Linked DNA regions of Mus musculus: all the other regions are reported to be linked to region 1. The links are microRNA targets in miRTarBase. Many come from high-throughput screens and were not tested one by one. Region 1 holds a microRNA gene; each other region holds the end of a gene's coding sequence.
What was found. The annotated mature microRNA mmu-miR-509-5p reads UACUCCAGAAUGUGGCAAUCAU and lies in region 1 at 1,500-1,521, shown strand. An mRNA with a match to its seed (bases 2 to 7 or 8) in the 3' UTR can be bound and repressed. Matches are read on the target gene's strand: a 7mer-m8 pairs with bases 2 to 8, a 7mer-A1 pairs with bases 2 to 7 and ends in A, and an 8mer does both.

Region 1 (5,207 bases):
TTATTTTTTTAATTAGGTATTTATTTCATTTACATTTCCAATGCTATCCCAAAAGTTCCCAACCCACTCCCCCACCCACTCTACCACCCACCCACTCCCACTTCTTGGACCTGGCATTCCCTTGTACTGAGGCATATAATGTTTGCAAGACCAAGGGGCCTCTCTTCCCAATGATGGCCAACTAGGCCATCTTCTGACATATATGCAGCTAGAGACACGAGCTCTGGGGGGTACTGGGTAGTTCATATTGTTGTTCCACCTATAGGGTTGCAGATCCCTTTAGCTCCTCGGGTACTTTCTCTAGTTCCTCCACTGGGGGCCCTGTGATCCATCCAATAGCTGACTGTGAGCATCCACTTATGTGTTTCCTAGGCCCCGGCATAGTCTCACAAGAGACAGCTAAATCTGAGTCCTTTCAGCAGAATCTTGCTAGTGTATGCAATGGTGTCAGCGTTTGGAGGCTGATTATGGGATGGATCCCTGGATATGGCAGTCTCTAGATGATCCATCCTTTCGTCTCAGCTCCAAACTTTGTCTCTGCAACTCCTTCCATGGGTGTTTTGTTCCCAATTCTAAGAAGTGGCAAAGTGTCCACACTTTGGTCTTCGTTCTTCTTGAGTTTCATGTGTTTAGCACATTGTAACTTATATCTTGGGTATTCTAAGTTTCTGGGCTAATATCCACTTATCAGTGAGTACATATTGTGTGAGTTCTTTTGTGATTGGGTTACCTCACTCAGGATGATGCCCTCCAGGTCCATCCATTTGCCTAGGAATTTCATAAATTCATTCTTTTTAATAACTGAGTAAATGTGTAATTGTGCATTTACAAAATTGATTAATTAATTAATTAATTAATGTAAATGTGTAATTGTGCATTTACAAAATTGATTAATTAATTAATTAATGTTTACCCTCCACATTTTATTCCACCCCGTCCACCCTCAGACTCTTCCACATCCCATATCTCCTTCCCAACCTCCTGTCTCCACGTGGATGTTTTCACACCCACCCCTCATGGTCTCTAAACTCTCTGGGGCCTCCAGACTCTTGAGGGTTAGGTGCATCATCTGAAAATGACCAGAGACCTGGATGTCCTCTACTGTATATGTATTGGGGGCCTCATATCAGCTGTTATATGATGCCTGTTTGGTGGTCCAGTGTTTCAGAGATCTCAGGTCCAGATTAATTGAGACTGCTGGTCCTCCTACAGGTTTGCTCTCAGCTTCTTTCAGCCTTCCCTAATCCAACAACATGGGTTAGCTGTTTCTGTCCACTGGTTGGGTGCAAATATCTACATCTGATTATTTCAGCTGCTTGTTGGGTCTTTCAGAGGGCAGTCATGATAGGTCCCTTTTTTTATGAGCACTCCATCGCCTTAGAAATAGAAATATTGTTTATATATATTATTTTCAGTGTCTGGTTTATTGATTTAATTTCCCCAACTATCATTTTTAGACCAAAAATAAGAGTTGATTGTGATAACTGTGTGTGGTTCTTTACTCCAGAATGTGGCAATCATGCATAATTAAATGTGATTGACATTTCTGTAATGGAGTAACACATGTGATATATGGCATGTGCAATGGCACCGTAAGGGAAGTGTTTTGCTTAATTACATGCAGAAAAATGGTCCCTTTAGAGGACAGGGACAACTTTCCTCTATCTCTGTCCTGACCACAATCTCTGGTCTTCCTGATCTACATCAGGGTACTTTTAAAAGTGAATTCTAAGAAGAAAATCTGTGGAATAAAAAGGATTATGAAAAAGACTTCAAAATGATGTTTTCTATTTTTCCTGAAATTCATAAATACTACTGCAGAGTTATTTAAAACAAATAAGAAGAGATTTTAATGTGTTTGTGATCAACTCAGTGATCAACAATTGTAATTAATTTAGCCTAAATTGTTTTCTAGAAACAAATTTGTTAGATTAATTCACTTTATTTTATTTCTATTTAACAAATAAATTTATTTATTCATGTATTATCTATTTTTGATAAGGAGTTAAGGATACCAGCATAAGAATGCCTGGTAATTGTAATCTTTCTGTATCCTCTCCCAGAATAGTTGTATTATAGGGGGAAAGTCGCCATAACATACTATACCTTTCTTTTAGTGTCTTCATTATTTTCAACGTTCTCTGGTCCTTTTCCAATTGCCTCTGGCTTCTCAGAATAAGCTCAGTATATTTTTTCCCTCCTTAGTATTTTATTTTTGCTCATTTTAAATAGTTATTTTTATGTGTATGTGTATTTGCACACATGTTGTGCTCATGCCCACACAACCCAGAAAATGGTGTCAAATCTTTCTTCAGATTGAGACAACCAGTTATTTATGGGTTACTTGATATGGGTGCTGGAGAAACAAATGGCACACAAGTGACATGCTTCTTTCTGAACCTGAACTCCCTCTGTTTCTTTCTGTTTGCCATGTACCAAGAGATGTTTGCCAGTGTAGTACAAGACTAACTCTGTAATCAAAAGGAAGCAGAGTGAACTGGTGATTGCTACATATGCTTATTTAGACAATAGGATATGGGGATATGTTTACCTTTAAATCAAGTTGTTTAATTATGAAAAAAATTGATGCTGTTGTGTTTATTAGACAGGGTCTTAATATGTGTCACAAGTGGACACTGAACTCATGATCCTCCTGACCCTGCTTCCCAGGTACTGGAATTACCTGCACGCAATTTGTCTATTTTGACTTTTTGTACACCTGTAGACTTTTTTGGTCTCACAGAACTTAGTCTTACTATCAATGTTCTAATCTGTTTAACAAGTCCTATATACTACATTCCCTCTCCAATTTCAAGGATTCTTCTTAAATATACCTAAACCCCATGATCTGTGTTATGTGATATATAACCAAATAATATTTTAAACACATTTTTGAAATAAAAACTGCTTGACTAATCAGCCTGTTTTCATTCCCTTGAAAATATGTTTGGATCATTTGTGAGCCATTAATATATGAGGAGTTCTTAAAATACAGGTAAGTCTAGGTATTCTCTGGAATGTTTAGCTATTCATTTCTTTTTACTTATTGTGGTATATGTTCATTTTTATTTTTGGTGTCTTTGTAGCATCTGCTATTAACACTCTGATAAGAGAAAAACAGAGAGATAGAAACACAGAATGAGGAGAGAGAGAAGTTTAAGGTAATACCAAAATGACCAATTGTTATTTAATCACTCAGTAGAGTGTATGTCAATTGAAATTATGAGGACAGATGCAGATATATAAATTTGTGAGTGTTCATGTGTTCATATGCATGTGTGTTTGTGTTTGTGTGAGTGTGCATGTGCTGTGCATGTGTGTGTGTGTGTGTACAAGTTTTACCTTCCTCATGTCATGTGCTACCATAAGTTGTAGAATTTACAAGTTTAATTTTTAATTTAAATGCAACAGAAAAAACTTGTAATACCAGGGTTTTGTTTGAGTTATGTATTAACATTTATAATATTTGTATAGGTTTATGTTACTATAGTTTTAATTTTATCTCTATATCAACTATACATATTAAACATTTTTAAACATGCACATGATCCATACATTTTCTCAATGAGTTATAATGAGAGGTTGCCCAAAACCTGAATTCTTGTCGATAGGCCTCAACATTAGATATATGAGGGACTTCCCAACTCTACATTCTGTTGCACAGTGCTAAATTTGAGTTTGAATGAGCTTAAGGGCATGGTAGTTAAGATGAATTTGTGTTCCATGGAAATTATAGTGACATGAATTAGGTATAATATTTATATCTGTGAGTATAAGTTGGTTGTCTGAAGCCAAGAATGCTATGTGCTAGGGCAAGCCTGAAGTCTGGTTTAGAAAGTCCTTTCCTATACCTATATAGATCTTTTACAGTACTGCCTATATTTTCTTCTAGCAGTTTTAGTGTTTTGAGATCCCCATAGAGGTCTTTGACTCATTTGATCTTATTTGCGAAATGGGTGATGGATAAAACTCTAATTTCATTTTCCTGGTGTGAATCCTGTCTTCTCAGCACCATTTGTTGAAAATGCCCCCCAACACCTTTTTTTTTAAACTGTACGATTCTTGTCTCTTGTTCAAATACCAGATTGCCATAGTTTCTAAAACTCTTGTCTGGATCTTTTATTCCATTGGTTTATATAGAGAGACCTATATTATATCTTGAAGTCAAGAATAGCAATCCCTCTAGTATTATTCTTTTTGCTTTGGATTCCTTTGGCTATACATGATCCATCCAGAATATAAAAAGAACAACAACAACAAAAATCAAAGGGTCAAGGAAATAAATTACCCAATTAAAAATGGGCTAGCAATTTATACAGAGAGTATTAAATGGAAGAAATAAGGATATATAGGAACAGTGCCCATTCCCTGGATGTCTACAACATAAGTGCTACCACGGCAAAACCAGAAGAGTCTACAGTGTGACCCAGCATGCCGTGGGCATCATTGTAAACAAGCAAGTTAAGGGCAAAATTCTGGCCAAGAGGATCAGTGTGTGGATTGAGCACATCAAGCACTCAAAAAGCAGAGACAGCATCCAAAAGCAGGTGAAAGAGAATGATAAGAAGAAAAAGGAAGCCAAAGATAAGGGCACCTGGGTGCCATCCAGAGAAGCACACTTTGTGAGGACTAACTGAAAAGAGCCGGAGCTGTTGGAGCCCACTGCATGTGAATTCATGGCATAGTGTACAAAAAAAAAAAAAAAAAAAGTACCAGAACTACAAAGATTTTCCTCCAATTAAAAAAATATAGGACTTGGGCATGGATTCGGCGGACACCCCCAAGGTCCTCTAGAGAACTCTCCATGCAATCTTTGGACCACCAGTTAATGGAGCACAACTTCTGTTCCAATCCAATCACACAGGACCTGAGACAGCACTAGGGAAGCAGAAAAGTCAGCCTGACCAGGGTCCAAATCCCTTCCAGGTTGGTGCCAGTACCAGGACACCTTGGGCGCTGAGTCGGTGGACACCCCCATGGTCCCTGGAGGAGTCTCCATGTGATCTTAGGACCTCTGGTGAGTGGAACAAAACTTCCATTCCAATCCAATCACAGGGGACCTGAGACAGCATTAGGGAAGCAGAAAATCCAACCTGACCGGGGTCACAAGTCCCTTCCAGTTGGTGCCAGCACCGGGTCACCTGGGCACAGAGTTGGCATACACCCCCATGGTACCTAGAGGACAGCTTCTGAGGCAGACACAGTTT
Region 2 (5,207 bases), not on the chromosome of region 1:
CTCTGTAGGAACTGCCATGCCTGGCTGATTCTGTCTCTTGTTCACCACTCAGCTACCTCCTACTGTATATTATCTCCATAGCTGTGAGAGTTAGAACTCCAGCCATAACATCTACGGTTACAATCTGAATATGAAATGTCCTCCACAGAGCACACATGTGGAATACATGCTTCTCAGTTTTCTCATTTTACCTCCAATAAATATTTTTATATATATTACAATATATACAATATGATATACATTATACAATAGTATATTCAATAAATACAGAGCAAACTGGAAATGGTATAAGCCTTTGAAACCTCAAAGCCTGTCCCTGTCCCCCAGTAACAGTTCCTCTAGCGAGGCCACACCTTTCAAACAGCACACCTGGAGACCAAGTGTTTAAATGCCTGTTAATTAATATATGTTCTTATTTATACATAAAATGTTAATAGTGACAGAATCTCTTGGTAGCCCATCATAACTATAAACTTAACCATATGCTTGGCTAACTATTAGTTTGAAATATTTTAGGGTATATATCACTTAAAGATCAGTGCCTTAAAGAACTATATTATGAGTATTCACATACAAGTTTAGAACATTTTATTTAAAACAGGTATTCATTGTCTTCCATACATAATTATCTTTTAATATGTCTAAAATATTTCAGAAAAAACCCCAAAGTCGGTGAAAAACAAAAATCTCAATTCTGTCTACAAAAGGAACAAAGAAGTAACCAAAGATCCTACTATGAAAGTAAGGAGAAATATCTTTTTTTTTTTAAAGACTTATTTATTATTATATGTAAGTACACTGTAGCTGTCTTCAGACACTCCAGAAGAGGGAGTCAGATCTTGTTACAGATGGTTGTGAGCCACCATGTGGTTGCTGGGATTTGAACTCTGGACCTTTGGAAGAGCAGTCGGGTGCTCTTACCCACTGAGCCATCTCACCAGCCCCGAGAAATATCTTACTAGACAACTAGCTAAGGGAAAAAAGTGGGGCCTTCTCCACACCAGGACCACATCCACCTCCTGACACCATCCATCACTGACACCATCACTGTGCACATCTGCCCCAGCTAAAAGTCACTCTTGAGGTCTCTAAAGCTCACTGTGCAGCTCCCGTTGGCTCCTTCCCTTGACTTACGCTCTCTTCTCTATCACCACCTGCCAAGTCCCATCAGCTTTTCAAAGTTTGACTCAGTCCTTCCAAAACAGCCCCGTTACACTGTGGTCTAATGATACAATTAATGATATAACTAATTAAGAGCACAGCTCAAAAATGGTTGTAAAGCCCCTCACACTTGGTCCTTGAAACAGTCCCGTGGGATGCTCTTTTTCCCTCCCTGCTCTTCCCTATCCTCCCCATTTCACCCACCCCCACTCATATAACTTCATGTTCTCTTGCGCTCCCTCTCTCTCTCTCAAAAAACGAAAAAACTTGAACAGCAAAGCAAACAAACGAGAGAGAGAGAGAGAGAGAGAGAGTTAGTTCGAGGTCAGCCTGGTCTACAAAGTGAGTTCCAGGACAGCCAGGGCTATACAGAGAAACCCTGTCTCAAAAAAACAAAAACAAAACAAAACAAGGAAGGAAGGAAGGAAGGAAGGAAGGAAGGAAGGAAAGAAAGAAAGAAAGAAAGAAAGAAAGAAAGAAAGAAAGAAAGAAAGAAAGAAAGAAAGAAAATCAATAAAAAGACAAGCACACAGAGTCCATTTTATGTTAGCCAATTACTCCTGGGTCTGGGGCCTGCCCTGACGGGTAATGGATATGTCCAATAACACTCCACTGGAGAAAGCTGACTTCCCTTTCTCAGCAGCTATCTACTGCACAACCTCCCCTTCGTGGGGATCTCTGCAAACACCTTAACCAGCAGGGTGTTGATCCAAGAGAAGCAAGAAGAAAGTCTGTCTCAACGTGACTCAGTGGACAGTTTTTGTCCAAACTTCTGGAGTCTAGCACCAAGTAGTTTATTTTAGGCACAGCACAATTTCAAAATAGTTTCTGGTGATAATTAATCAGTCCTGTGTGTACAGAAAAGCTTAGGAGATGGCTATACTGAAACTCTTGTAGAGTACAAGCAACATCTTGCATACAGATAGGTTCTCTGAATTAACTGAGGAAGCAGGCTCAGGGAAAACAGTGGTCCTGATGAGGTTGGCAGGGAGGGCAGACTGCCGATTGACTGACATGAACTTGAGTCTGAGGGAGGCGGTGTGGCTTGGTGGTACAAATAGTGCAGAGACCACCAGCTACGAATCACATTGTTCCTGCCTTCTGGGCAGAAACAGGTTATACATCTCTCCCTCTGACGAGACAACCCTGAGGGTTGAACACTCCTGATTCCCACTGTGCTCAGGTGTGAGCACAATGGCCCACAACTTCGTCTCCCTTTCTCAGTGTTGGGACTCTGTCTGGTTTGAACCTGTGCTGTCAGCCACATGTGCACGGGTCCTGTTCTGTCTGGAAGATGCGGCTTCCCTGGAGCCCTTCACCACCTCTGGCTCTCACAGTCTTTCTGCCTCCTCTTCAGAACAGGTCCCTAAACCCTGAGGGGAGGGGTTTGACTACTATCCTCAAATACAGATAGATTATACTATTAGGTTACTCAAGAGTATACAAAGTAAAATAACCATGTTTTATAGCAGCTAATAAAATTATACCATGTTACATGTTTTGGAATTTATCTCTCTCCTCTCTCTCACAAGCAGGCAAACACACAATCTCATTACACAGCTACTACATACCTAGACTGGTTCAGAACATGTGATCCTTTGGCCTCCCCCACGCTAGTACTGGTATGGCAGGAGTTTTGCTACGTACGTTACAACCTTGCTTCAAATGTATTTAATAAATAAATAAATTCTATTTGCTCTTGTTACAAAAAAAGCTAGCTATATAAATTATAAATAAGTAATCTCACTAGGCAACCATTTTTTTAAGTTTTTTTTTTTGATTCTTTGTGAATTCTATATCATGCACCCAACCCCACTCATGTCTCCAGCTTCCTTATCTACTCTCTGCCCTTGCAATCTGTTCCTGCCAAAGAAACAAAAAACAAACAAACAAACAAACAAACATCTCCATAAAAGCTTGTGTGTGTCCCTCAGTATTTCCGTGTGCCCACACATCTTCACTCATTCACTTACATCTTTACTCAGTGCAATGGGTCATTGTCTGATCCGAGGCCTCTGGCTTCTGGTGCACTATAAATACTGGACCCTCACGGGGACCCTTCTCAGATACCCTGTTGTTGCCCTGTGTCATGGAGATCCTGCAGCCTTAGTTCTACAGGACCCGCCCCTTCACAGGCTCTGGCAGTTCACAGATGATATGGATGCTGGGGTGGGCCACCTCAAAGCCCCAAGTTGGTCATCCCTCCTGTTCCTGATCCTGAGCCAACCAGGGCAAGCTCCCCCACTCACTGTTGTGTTCTTGGGGCTGGCTCTACTGTGCTGCCCAGGCAAGGTACAGACTGCTCTCCCAAGCACTACAACCTTCAAGGAGTAGGGCTCATTCTCCTTCACCGAAGCCACTGCACAGCTGGTGAGGGTCAGGCCAGCCCTCCTGTGCTCATGGGTAACTATTTTTCTATCTAGATGTCTTACAAAGCATTAGACTGTAGATATTAAACAGACATAATGAAATTTGGTTTTGCAGAAAGAGAATATAAATGTGGAGCTGGGTCACAGAAATTGGTGGCCAATGTGAAAGTCCTGAAGCAATGGGTACTTAATGAGGTAATTACTTATTAAATGATTAGATGTGCCATAGAAACAATTTACCCAGTCGCATGACAAACTCAGGTAAGTCTCAAGTTACATTCAGTGTCAAATCTTGAACCACTATACACTATACACCCATACAATAACTTGGTATAACTTGGTAGATAACCTCCCCCCCAAAAAAACAAACAAACAATAGGTTTATGTCTTACTGTTCTCCACACTCTGGCAAAACATCCGACTAAGGAATGTAAGTAGGGAAGTTTAGAGAGGTAAAGGCACGGCGGCGGGAGTGAGACGTTTCCCAGGCACAGGGTTACGGCTCATGCCTGTGCACAGGAGAACCCTAGGCCAGGACTCACGGCAGAGCCAGAAGCAGCCAGAAGCAGCCGTAACCGCCAAGCTCTGCTCCAAGCCGCCACCCTGGATGATATACCAAGAACACCAACGGTCTGGGGTTCTCACGTAGGAGCCAGGATGAGTTTCTTCCTCAGAGTGTGCTGCAGGCTGAGGCTGTATTTCTCCTTAGACGAAACACCACTGTTCCACGCATACACTTTGTCCATGAGTTCAACGTGGAGGTCCACGAGTGGGCGTCTCCTAGAGGAAGAGAAAGGCAAAGTTTAAAGATGTGCAAACACCAAAGAGAAGACAGATTGTCATTAGGGGAGAGTCAGCTAACAGGTATGAAAGTCCTTTGAAACTCATCCTTTTAAATGCTCTGTGCATTGCTTAGCAAATAATCCAAACAATTGGCAGTACTCTGGCCCAGAGGCCAGAGTCTCCTTCCACAAAGACAGTGGAATTTTACTCTGAGAACACACCAGCTAGGGGACAAGCCACCTGATAACCCCATGCAAAGAGAGAAAGACTATAAAGGCCAATGCTACCCCTGTCCCTGGAGCACCGACTCTGAAATGTTGCACCCCTCCAAGCACACCCCCCCCAAGCCCTGCTGAGCCACCACTGAGGAGACTGAGAAAGCTAAGACAGCACCCGAGTCCTTGGAATTCAGCATTTGACTGACAGCTAAGCAACATTGTTATCCTTTGTAATTAGGGAGCAAATTTGAAAGGGCCAGTTAGTCCTATACTTGAACATTGTAGCTTCATTCCATTTACTAGAAGCTAGGGCAGTGATGGTTTCCTCCTTCTAATAAATATCCAAAATGTTTGCAGTCATCCCATTACCTCTGAAAACCAAGACCATCAGTGGGACCATGTCTGAAACCAGGCCAACACTGAACCCTACAGTGCATACGCTGTGCTTTTTCTATAATACGCACCTATATAAAGCTCAATTTATGTTAGGAGAATAAAATAAATATATTCAAAATATAAGCTGACTAATGTAAAGTAGTCATAAGCTGTGCTGAGTCTTTATTCATTCCCACCCCTGCCCCCCAAAGCAATTTGAACTGGGAAGGGAAAGTCTCTGTCCTGTCGAAGTCCATCGGACCAAGCATGGTGGTGATATCCATCTTGGATAAACATGTAG
Region 3 (5,207 bases), not on the chromosome of region 1:
GTCTTACTAGCTGGCCTCGAACCCACAGAAATCCACCTACCTTAGTGCTAAGATCAAAACCGTACACCCACTACGTTTCATTTATTATCTTTACAGTTCTCATGCAGGACCCTGTATCAGTATAAAACAAGTACATTATATAACAATGAAATGAAATTGCTCTTGGAAATTAAAATTGGAGAATGGGGATAAACTAAGAGTTGAAGGCAGCTTAGAGACTCCTCAGACTCAAAGTATACCTTGAGTCTCATTTTATATTTTGGTTATGCTAGAGGATGGAGAGATCAAAAGCAAAACTCTAACTAGTAATCCTAACACTTGTGATGGTAAATACTGTCAACTTGATTACTTTTAGAATCACCATAGACACAAATCTCTGGACTTGGAGGGTCAGACTTAGATCCCCATAGATACACACCTTTGAGCATGTCTGTGAAGATGCTTTCACAAAGGTTGAACTGGAAAGATGTACCCTTAATGAGGACTGCATTCTCAAAGGAGTGGGCACACACTGAATAAAAAGGCAAATTCAAGTTGAACATCCATTGCTGTTGCTAGACTGCAAATACAATGTGCCCAGCTGTCTCATGCTCCTGTTGAAATCCCGTCCAAGCTGTGCTAGACTGTACCTTAATCTGTGAGCCAGAATCAACACATGCTTCTGAGGTTGCTTTTACCAGGGTTTGTCATAGTAATAGGAAACACAATCTAGATAGCTCTATATGTAGGTGTAATCTAGCATGGTCTCAGTCATCCTCCTGCCTCAGCTTACCAAAGTGAGAACTGCCACTATTTTGAATCTTCACACCCGCCCACAACAAATTGAGTTATGTTTAAAAGGAGTAAAACTGGTAATATCAGAGTGAAACCTTAAAAATCTTTGGAGGAAAAATTAAGGGGTTCAAAAGGATCAATCAGGATTTAATGCTGCAACCCACAAAATGCTCTTTCATAATACCAGTTTACTGAAGTTTAATGAGAACTGGTTTGGTGCCATATTGGATGGAGTAAATTGGATTTTACCTAATGCAAACAGTCAAAAAAGAATATAGATTTAGTTGAATAACTTTATTAAATGGCACATTTTGATATTGGTGTATTAAAATGCCTCATGACTCAAACATTTTCATGACACTATAATGACAAGTTTTAAAAACTAGACCACAGAGCCACAGTTACTGTTATAATATGGAACAAGTTTTGTCTACTAAACATTCATACTCAAATTGTGATTCTCAAAAGTAAAACCCATGTATCATCAAAATAAAGCACTTCAAAGGACAGAACACTGACAAACCCAGTATCTACTGAAATGAAAGCAGAGTACATTATAGGAAAGGAACTTTTTGAAAAAGTAATGAAATGTACTTTATATACAAAGAAATTTGAATACAAAGCAATTTGTATATGAAGTAATATACTTTGAATAGTTTACTTTTACCCATTATCCTTTAGAATTGTGAATGATAGTTCTGGTTTGGGGGAAGACGTGTTCTTATTAGGAACATGATACAGGTTATTAGGAGTAAAGGAACTTTATAGAAAGCTTTATAAAATGTTATGTGTTCTAGTTAATCAGCAGCCTAAAAAGAACAGCTAATATAGTCAAAATATTTTAACAGTGCTGCCTATTCTACAGGGGTAACTGCTCTATCAGTGTGATTACAGTGTAATAAATGAGTATTTTGTCATCAGAAAATTTAGCTATGTTAACAATTTTTCTCATGTTTTCCTGCATGTATGCATGTGCTTCATTGTGTGCCTGGTACTTGAGGTAGCTAGAAAGAGGGCACTGAATCCCCCTAAACTAGAGTTGTAGATGATCGTGAGCCTCCGAGTGGATGCAAAGGACCACACCCAGGTCCTTCTGCAAGATACAGTGCCACCTCTCCAGCTTCAAATAGCCACATTTTTTTTTTTCGTTTTTTCGAGACAGGGTTTCTCTGTGTAGCCCTAAGCTGTCCTGGAACTCACTCTGTAGACCAGGCTGGCCTCGAACTCAGAAATCCGCCTGCCTCTGCCTCCCAAGTGCTGGGATTAAAGGCGTGTGCCACCACTGCCCAGCTCAAATAGCCACATTTTAAAATAGTGCAAATTTCAACATCTTACATAAAAATATTTACAACAGTCAGAGACTGAGAAGCCAGATTGAATCAGTTTGAGCCAGAACAGCTAAGTTGAACCAGCCAGAGTATAGAAAGAGCTAGAAAGGGTGAGCTTGTTCAGCAGTAAGTCTCAAAAGATGAAAACATTCTAGGCCTAGATAAGATTGTATGGAGGCTGGAAGCTTCCAGGACCTCACCTAGGTTAGCAGACAGAGGCAGTGAGCCTGAGATGACAATTACATCAAGTGAATAAAAGATCATTTTACAGTCTAGAGGTGGAGGTTGTCTAAGGCTGGAGTTTGTAAGAGTGTACTGGGTTAAATAGTGTTCCTCACAAAATTCCTATCTATCCAGAACTCCAGAATGCATTTCTACTTGAAAACAGGATCTTTGCAGATGTAAGTGGTTTAAGACAAAGTACTAGAATCCTTCTGATGTGGTGGTGCATACTTTTAGTCACAGCATTTAGAAAGCAGAGGGTGGGTATCTTAACTCCAGGCCAGCGGGGGATGGCTCCAAGGTTAAGGGCACTAGCTGTTCTTCTAAGTACCTGGGTTCAGTTTCTAGAACCCACGTGGTGGTTCACAACCAGATTCGGGAGATCTGACCCCATTTTCTGACTTCTGTGGGCACCAGGCATACAGATGGTATATATTCATTCATATGTAAGTTAAAAAAAAGAATGGTTCAAATAAATGCTATTTACAAAAGAACTAAGTGAAAATAGTTACACAAGAGAAAGAAATGACCATGAGAAGATGAAGGTGTAAGACTGCAGTGCAGCTCTAGGTATAAACTAAGAAGTAAATGTCAAGGACTACTGGCAACCAGCAGCAGGGGTGGGAATGGGGTGTGTGGCGGTTTTGCCCAATCCTCCAAAAGCCAGATTTGAGACATCTGGCCTCCTAAACAGTGAAAATATATTGGTTGGTTTAATCCATTAAGCAAGCAGTAGTTTGTAGCAGTGTAGCAAGCTAGCACATGGGAATAGGAGTGACTACAGTAAGTACAGGGCTTCTTTCGGAGGAGTTATGAAAACACTTGAAAAATACAATGATGACTGTACACAGTGCATATAAACATACTTTTTAAAAAAGATTTATTTATTATATGTAAGTACACTGTAGTTGTCTTCAGACACTCCAGAAGAGGGCGTCAGGTCTTGTTACGGATGGTTATGAGCCACCATGTGGTTGCTGGGAATTGAACTCAGGACCTTTGGAAGAGCAGTCAGTGCTCATAACTACTGAGCCATCTCACCAGCCCCGCATATAGACATACTAAAAGCCACTACATTAGTACAGTTTAAATGGGTGAACTGTATGCTTATGAATTACATCTCAATAAAGCTGTCTATACATAAGAACTTGACAGATAAATCCTGTCACTTTTCAACTTCACTTTTAATTTAAACATTTTAGAGTCTGTTCTAACTTCCATTCAGAGAAAAATTTTAAATGGAAACTTTCACAAATTTAAGAAATATTAATGAACACACGTAGAATGAATAAACAAAGCAAATCTATTTAAGTTAAAAATATTTAATATCAGATAAAAACATTGATTGACAGTTTAACATGGCACATTTCATACATAGTCAAAGGGCAAAACATTACTGAGAAAAATTAATAGGCCGTTTGGTAATTTGTTGTCCACATAAAAGCAATGAATAATGATATACTTAATGCCAATTATTACAAAACTTTTAGAGAAAACTCAGTTACCTCTAACATGTTCTGCTAGGAGAAAAGAAAACTGTATTTTTTAAAATCCATATGCTACTGGGCTACAATTATCAGTGCTTTTCTAGTAATCTAGAAATTTCTTCCAACAGCTTTTCTTCTGTTGGTCAATCGTTCCTACTGATTGGCTCTCGCATAGAGAATGAGGACATAGAGTGCTTTTTACACTGCTGAGTAAAACCATATGAATTAATGATGGGTGCTAAGCTTAATATTTTATACAAAAATGTATAATATTTCATTTAATTGGACTGAATATATTATTTCATGAGTAACTGGGTACAGTTAAGTCCCAAAAATCTGAGAAGTTTTGTGAGAAAGTGTGTATGTTTAAGCCATTTTTGCTTACTTTAAAATGGAATAATTTGGCACTAAATGAAATAATGAAGACAAGCAAAATACATAACACTATTACAGTTACTCTATCAGAGTTTACCATCTCCGACTATAATTCATACGATTACTTAGTTCTTGACCAAACAGAAACAAAAAGCCCTAACTACACAGCACTTACACAATTAGGAAAATAGAATCTAGAGCTAAGCTGGGGCTCTTTCTCTGATGAGCATGCCCCACTCTGCCACAATCAGTTATATATTTGCAATTCACGTTTTCAAGAAGTGCTTGTAACTTTTCACGTTTTCTGGCTGATAGGTTCTTGGATGGCCAAATAAAATATGATCTTTGAATTAAGTAAGGAGATCCAGATAATATAAACTGTTATCTTATTGGAATCTTACTTTATCAAAATACCAGATCAGAACTTCATAACCGAACTCTTGGAATAAACCACTGGTGGCCATATCTCTAAGTTTCAGATGAGTGGAAGTCCATTCACCATTCATGTTTCAAGGGTCTCTTCATTTGCTCCACAAGTATCAACAACACAAATTAGACAACTTGTGACTGGGAAAGCCCGGACTTTTGAGTTGGCGATCCACTTATCTGTTTCAGTATTATACTCAAGGATATGCCCCAATCTGCCTACACCCTGAAAACCTGCCAGGACATAGATGACAGAGCCAACTGCTGCACACTTCACCGTGACACCCCTCCATGGCATCGGTGACACCATCTTCCATTCATTTAACTTGATATCGTAATATTCCACATTGTCCAGACCACCTTCAAAAGAACAACATATGAGAACTTTATTTTATTAGTGATTGCTGGATCTCTTCATAGTTTCTAAAAGTTTTATATTTTAGTTTCAAAATAAAATTGTTAACCACATAGAAAGGATATAAGAGCTTTATGATCATTACCCACACGCCCACTACCTAAATATTTATTCTTGAGAAATTTTCAGAAATATTTTTTCTACAAAGTAAAAAAAACAAACAACAACAACAACAACAAA
Region 4 (5,000 bases), not on the chromosome of region 1:
GTCCCCCAAATACAAACCAACGACAACTCGTATAGCACTTCCACTGTGTTAGGAACTCACCAGGTCTATAGACACTGTAACTACAGGGGAGGGTTTCATGATGTCTTATGTCTTAATTGCTAAGATGAACTCCATGACCAAAACCAACTTGGTATAGAAAATTTAGCTTACATATCCTGAGTCATAGCTCATCAAGGGGAGCCAAGGTCCGAACTCGAGGCAGGAACTGAAGCAGAAGCCATGGAGAAACACCGTTCACCTGCTTGCTCCTCATGGGTGGCTCAGCCTGCTTTCTTATACAACCCAGGACCACCTGACCAGGAGTAGCAACACCCACAGTGGGCTGGGTCCTCCACATCAATCATTAACCACAAGAACACCCTACAAACTTGCTGACGTTCCCTCTTCCCAGAGGACCCTAATATGTCAAGATGACCAAAACCTAACTAGCATATATGAGTTAGATGCAAATATTGCACTCTTTCTGTGGGCTTTTGAGCAGCATCAGGGTTGAGAGGTCCTAGGGGATCCAGAGGAGACTGAGGGACGTCTGTATAGCCCAAGTCCCCATGGCTTTGCTACTCCCTCCCCCAAGCCCAGTCAGGTCCGGTGAGGTTGGAGAACATCATGAGGAGCCCGGCAGAGGTCAGCCTGGGATTCAGAACCTGCCACAGCAATGCCTAGTTCTGCCCCGTGCTGCCTGTGTGATGGTGCTCAGCTGTGAGGCTGTGACTCAGAGGGAGGAGCTACCCTGTGCTTGGCACCTGTAACCAGCCTCTGTTTGTCTGCAGGTCATCGAGGACTGGAAATTCGTCGCAATGGTCGTCGACCGCCTGTTCCTGTGGGTGTTCGTGATTGTGTGTATTCTGGGCACCATGGGGCTCTTCCTGCCACCCCTCTTCCAGATCCACGCACCCTCCAAGGGCCTCTAGGCTACCCAGCGTGTTATGGGGCCCTGGGTTGTAGTGGGATGATATGAGCAGCCTAGTGGGCAGTTTACTGCTTCATCTGGGTTGTAGCTAATGAGACCCTAAGTAAAGCTAAGACTATTGGCAGTCAGCCTATCAATCTAGCCACGAGAAGGACAGAGATAGGTGGCTTGCACTGATCGCTCTGAATATCTTCGAGTAAGTCCCTTGAAGGAGGGGGATTAGGTGGCTGAAGTCCATTCTGGCCTCCTTCCTTCCATGTGCCAGGCACTGGAGTCAGACAGCTGTGTATCATCCCATCACACCCCAGCCCACCTTCCCATCCATCTCCCTCCAATCCAGGCTACCCACTAGATTCCCTGGCCGTCTTTCATTTCCTCTCACACTTCCAGATTCTTCCAGGTTAGAACCTTCAAATCTGCTGTAGCTACCGCCCAAACCTCAGACTCTCAATTCCCAAGCTTTTTACATGTCTGCACTAGGCAGAGATCTACTCCCATGATCCTCTGTTCCAATATGTCACTTCCTGTACAAGCCTTCCCTAGCCATGCATTCCAAAGCAGCGTCTCCCATAACCACATTAAACCTCCAGCTTTCTTGAGTGTCCTCCATTGGCAGCTGCAGTCCTTAGTTGGTGGCACACTAGTCACCAGCACCTTGCCCATTAAAGTCTATGCTCAACAAGGGTCGGAGTGTGTGAATTCACATTCACACTCCAGAGCCTGGGACAGAGCTCTGCACACAGAAGGTGCAAAATAAATGTTTGTTGAATGAATGGCTCCTGCTCTCCTTCAAACACACACACACACACACACACACACACACACACACACACACACCCTCTGAGTAGCTGTCCTTGCTCCCTTCCTGCTTTCTGCCTTTACACCATGGTTGGTTCAGGCCTGTCTCTTTCTCACACTGATCTGTTTCTCTCACGGTGCCTGCCCCACTGTTGGCACTCAAGATACTTCTGGAATTAAGGAGTGTTAGTGGCTTTTTTAAAAAAATAAATGTTGAGCCAGGTGTGGTGGTTCACGCCTTTAGTCCCAGCACTTGGGAGGCAGAGGTAGGCGGATCTCTGAGTTCGAGGCCAGCCTGGTCTACAGAGTGAGTTCCAGGACAGCCAGGGCTACACAGAGAAACCCTGTCTCATAAAAACAAACAAACAAACAAAACAATACAAAAAAAATGTTGCTGTTTTCCTTTTACCCAGCTAGCTCCCAAATAATTTTGACTGGACTATTGTATTTATTTAAGAAGCTTTAAAGGCACAACAACGAGCAGCATTATCTATTTTAATCCTCTAAACTGATCTGGCTACCTCCCAGTCAAAACCCCAGTGATACTTGCATTTTAGTACTGATCTGGCTCTCTGGGCTCCAGGTGTTTTCTTATGGCATCTCCTGGACTCTCTACCCAAAGAGAATCCCCACTCTCCTCCTGCCCCCTTCCCTGGATGGGAGGAAGTCCAGACCTAGTCTCTCCCCTGCTTAGCCATTGACCAATCAGGGAATAATTGGGGAGCAATGTTTACATAACATTGAGACTGGAAATTCTCAGAATAAGAATTACAATCAAATGTGGGGGCACAGAAATCAGCGTTTGAATAATATAAAGGTAATCTTTACACAGGGTATTATTTCATGCCTACAAGGGGAAGATTTTAAAAATTTATTATTTTATGTGTATGGATGTTTTGCCTTCATGTATGTGTGTGTACCACGTACATGCTAGTACCCCCCCCCCCAGAGGCCAGGAAAGGGCACTAGATCCCCTGGAACTGGAGTTACAGACTTGAGCCACCACGTATGTGGTGGGAATCAAACCTGAGTCTTCTGGAAGAACAGCCAATGCTCTTCTTGACTGCTGAGTCTCCAGCCCCTGAGGGAGAATATTTTAAAGTGTTTTGTTTTTAGAATTAACCTACAATAAAGTTGACTTCTTTAAAGTTTAACATTTGTATAACCATCATTGACACTAGGACAAAAGAAAGATGTCACTCAAACTTGGCTACTCTGCATAGACCCAACCCCTGCACACTTAGCCCTGGCCACCCTTACCTTTTCTTCACTGCTGTAGCTCAGTATCTTCAAGCCTGCTGCTTAAACGGAATCCTTCAGGGTGTAACCATTAGATACTGTAGATACTGGCTTCTTTATGCTGGGTCTTTTTTTTTTAAAGATTTATTTATTATATGTAAGTACATTGTAGCTGTCTTCAGACACTCCAGAAGATGGAGTCAGATCTCGTTACAGATGGTTGTGAGCCACTGTGTGGTTGCTGGGATTTGAACTCCGGACCTTTGGAAGAGCAGTCGGGTGCTCTTACCCACTGAGCCATCTCACCAGCCCATATGCTGGGTCTTTAAAAACAACTTCATTGGGTCAGCAAGATGACTCAGTGAGCGAAGGCACTTGCCTCTCAAGCCTGGAGGCCCGAATCTCATCCCTAGAATCCTTATAAAGACTCTAAGAGAGAATCAACTTCACAAAGCTGTCCTAGGGCTTCTATGTGTGTGCATGTACACATACTTCCTCTCAGGCTTCCATGTGTGTGCACGCCCCCCCCCACACACAATAAACAAAACTCTTTTTAAAATGATCACTTTTATTGAAGTATAAATTCACTCATTGTGCACTGGACAATACCATGAATTTTAGTATGTTCATCACCATGATCCAGCTTAGTACTGCTCCATCACCCTTACAAGGTCCCCAAGAACCATCAAGGAAGCCTTCATGGGCTAAGCCATCCCTGGTGGATGGCCAGAGAGGTCAAGAGACCCCAGAACACCTACCTTGTCACCGTCGATTCCTGGGACACATGGGTTTGCAGCTGGCAGTGAGACCAAGGGAAATCTATAACCGCCACAAAAGGAAATCTATGACGGTCACTATGGGAAGCCAGATCCTCTAGTTATTCCAACTTTACTTATAAAAGTATTTATTTACTCTGCTGGGAATCGCAGCCTGGACCTTAGGTGTGCTAGACAAGCACTCTACTGCTGAGCTATAACCATCAGCATTTGTCTGTTTTCTCAAGGAGCATCTCTAGCATAGTCTAAAGAAAGTAGCGAAAATAATATAAAACCTCCCAGATATCATCACCCTTGCGTCCACCATGGGGAACTCCTTGCCAATATTGTTTCCATCCCAAGCCATCGAGTCCCTCTTAACTGTATGCTGTGTACACACACACACACACACACACACACACACACACAGCATCGTGCTGAAAATAGTTACTTTAAGAGCATAAACTTCCACGGTCCACTTTTGAGTTACACTAGAGCTGGCACATGTGATAGGCCCCCAGCCCTCCTCAGAGCTGTACCTGCCAGAAAGCCAGGGCCAGAAATTTGACCCTTTCTTCCTGCCATGGTGACAATGCCTGATCCCGACTGGTCTGTAGCCTAGAGGTTTCAAGAGTCCAGGGAGGCTCTGGGCGAGGCATCGAGGCATCGACGCAGAAGACCGTGGCCCGACGCCCCTCCCACGACGGACGCAGCTCCTGCCTTGGCCTCCCAGCCTCCCCGCCCTGCGGCTGCTAGCAGCGCTTGCCTGCCTGGGGTTCGTGCACTCGGGCGCGCAAGTGCGCGGGAGCTCGGCGGCGCGAAGCCGGGAGGAACCCCGCGCTCTCCGTGCTAGCTTAGCTGTGCTTCGGTGGTGGTCAGCACCAGAGTGGCTCCGGTCCTGTCCATGCGGTCTTCAGACATGGGTGTTGTGCTGCCCCCGCCGCCGCTGTCCATGCTGATGCTGGTGCTGATGCTGCTGCCAGGTACAAGCGGGGAGCGGTCGGGTCCGGAGCCTAGGCTGGCTGCGGGCGGTGGCCATCGGGCGGCGGGTGGGTCTCCTGTGCGAGGCTGCAGCCCAGGGCTCTGTTTTCCGCACGACTTTGACCACCAGAGCCTTAGAAGTCTAGGCACCCACTTGCCTTGAATCTCAGCGTGGCCCCACGGTTCTGCCTGTGCACGCGCATCCCAGTCCCTACCACTGAGTCCCTTGGCTACTCCTTTGTTCCCAAACCTGCTAGTTAGCTGAGGCTCGAGACTAGCCCAGAACCGGCCCTCTG

Region 2: miRTarBase lists Cflar as a target of mmu-miR-509-5p. Seed matches in the 3' UTR shown: 7mer-m8 at 817-823 and 7mer-m8 at 96-102.
Region 3: miRTarBase lists Klhl7 as a target of mmu-miR-509-5p. Seed matches in the 3' UTR shown: 7mer-m8 at 3,245-3,251.
Region 4: the mRNA of Chrnb4 is a reported target of mmu-miR-509-5p. Seed matches in the 3' UTR shown: 7mer-m8 at 1,200-1,206 and 7mer-m8 at 2,710-2,716.

What each region holds. Positions count from the first base shown.
Region 1 is chrX:68,006,463-68,011,669 of GRCm38, reverse strand. Mir509 (microRNA 509) reads left to right here and starts at 1,491; the gene lies at 1,491-1,565.
Region 2 is chr1:58,752,887-58,758,093 of GRCm38, reverse strand. Cflar (CASP8 and FADD-like apoptosis regulator) reads right to left here. Exons shown (of 10, transcript NM_207653.6): 10 at 1-4,310. The coding sequence ends at 4,172. Among named protein-coding and RNA genes, the nearest start is that of Gm39646, 36 kb to the left of the region's middle.
Region 3 is chr5:24,159,212-24,164,418 of GRCm38, reverse strand. Klhl7 (kelch-like 7) reads right to left here. Exons shown (of 11, transcript NM_026448.3): 11 at 3,188-4,972. The coding sequence ends at 4,689. Among named protein-coding and RNA genes, the nearest start is that of Nupl2, 3.1 kb to the left of the region's middle.
Region 4 is chr9:55,026,037-55,031,036 of GRCm38, reverse strand. Chrnb4 (cholinergic receptor, nicotinic, beta polypeptide 4) reads left to right here. Exons shown (of 6, transcript NM_148944.4): 6 at 792-2,881. The coding sequence ends at 932. Chrna3 (cholinergic receptor, nicotinic, alpha polypeptide 3) reads left to right here and starts at 4,475. Exons shown (of 6, transcript NM_145129.3): 1 at 4,475-4,706. The coding sequence starts at 4,643.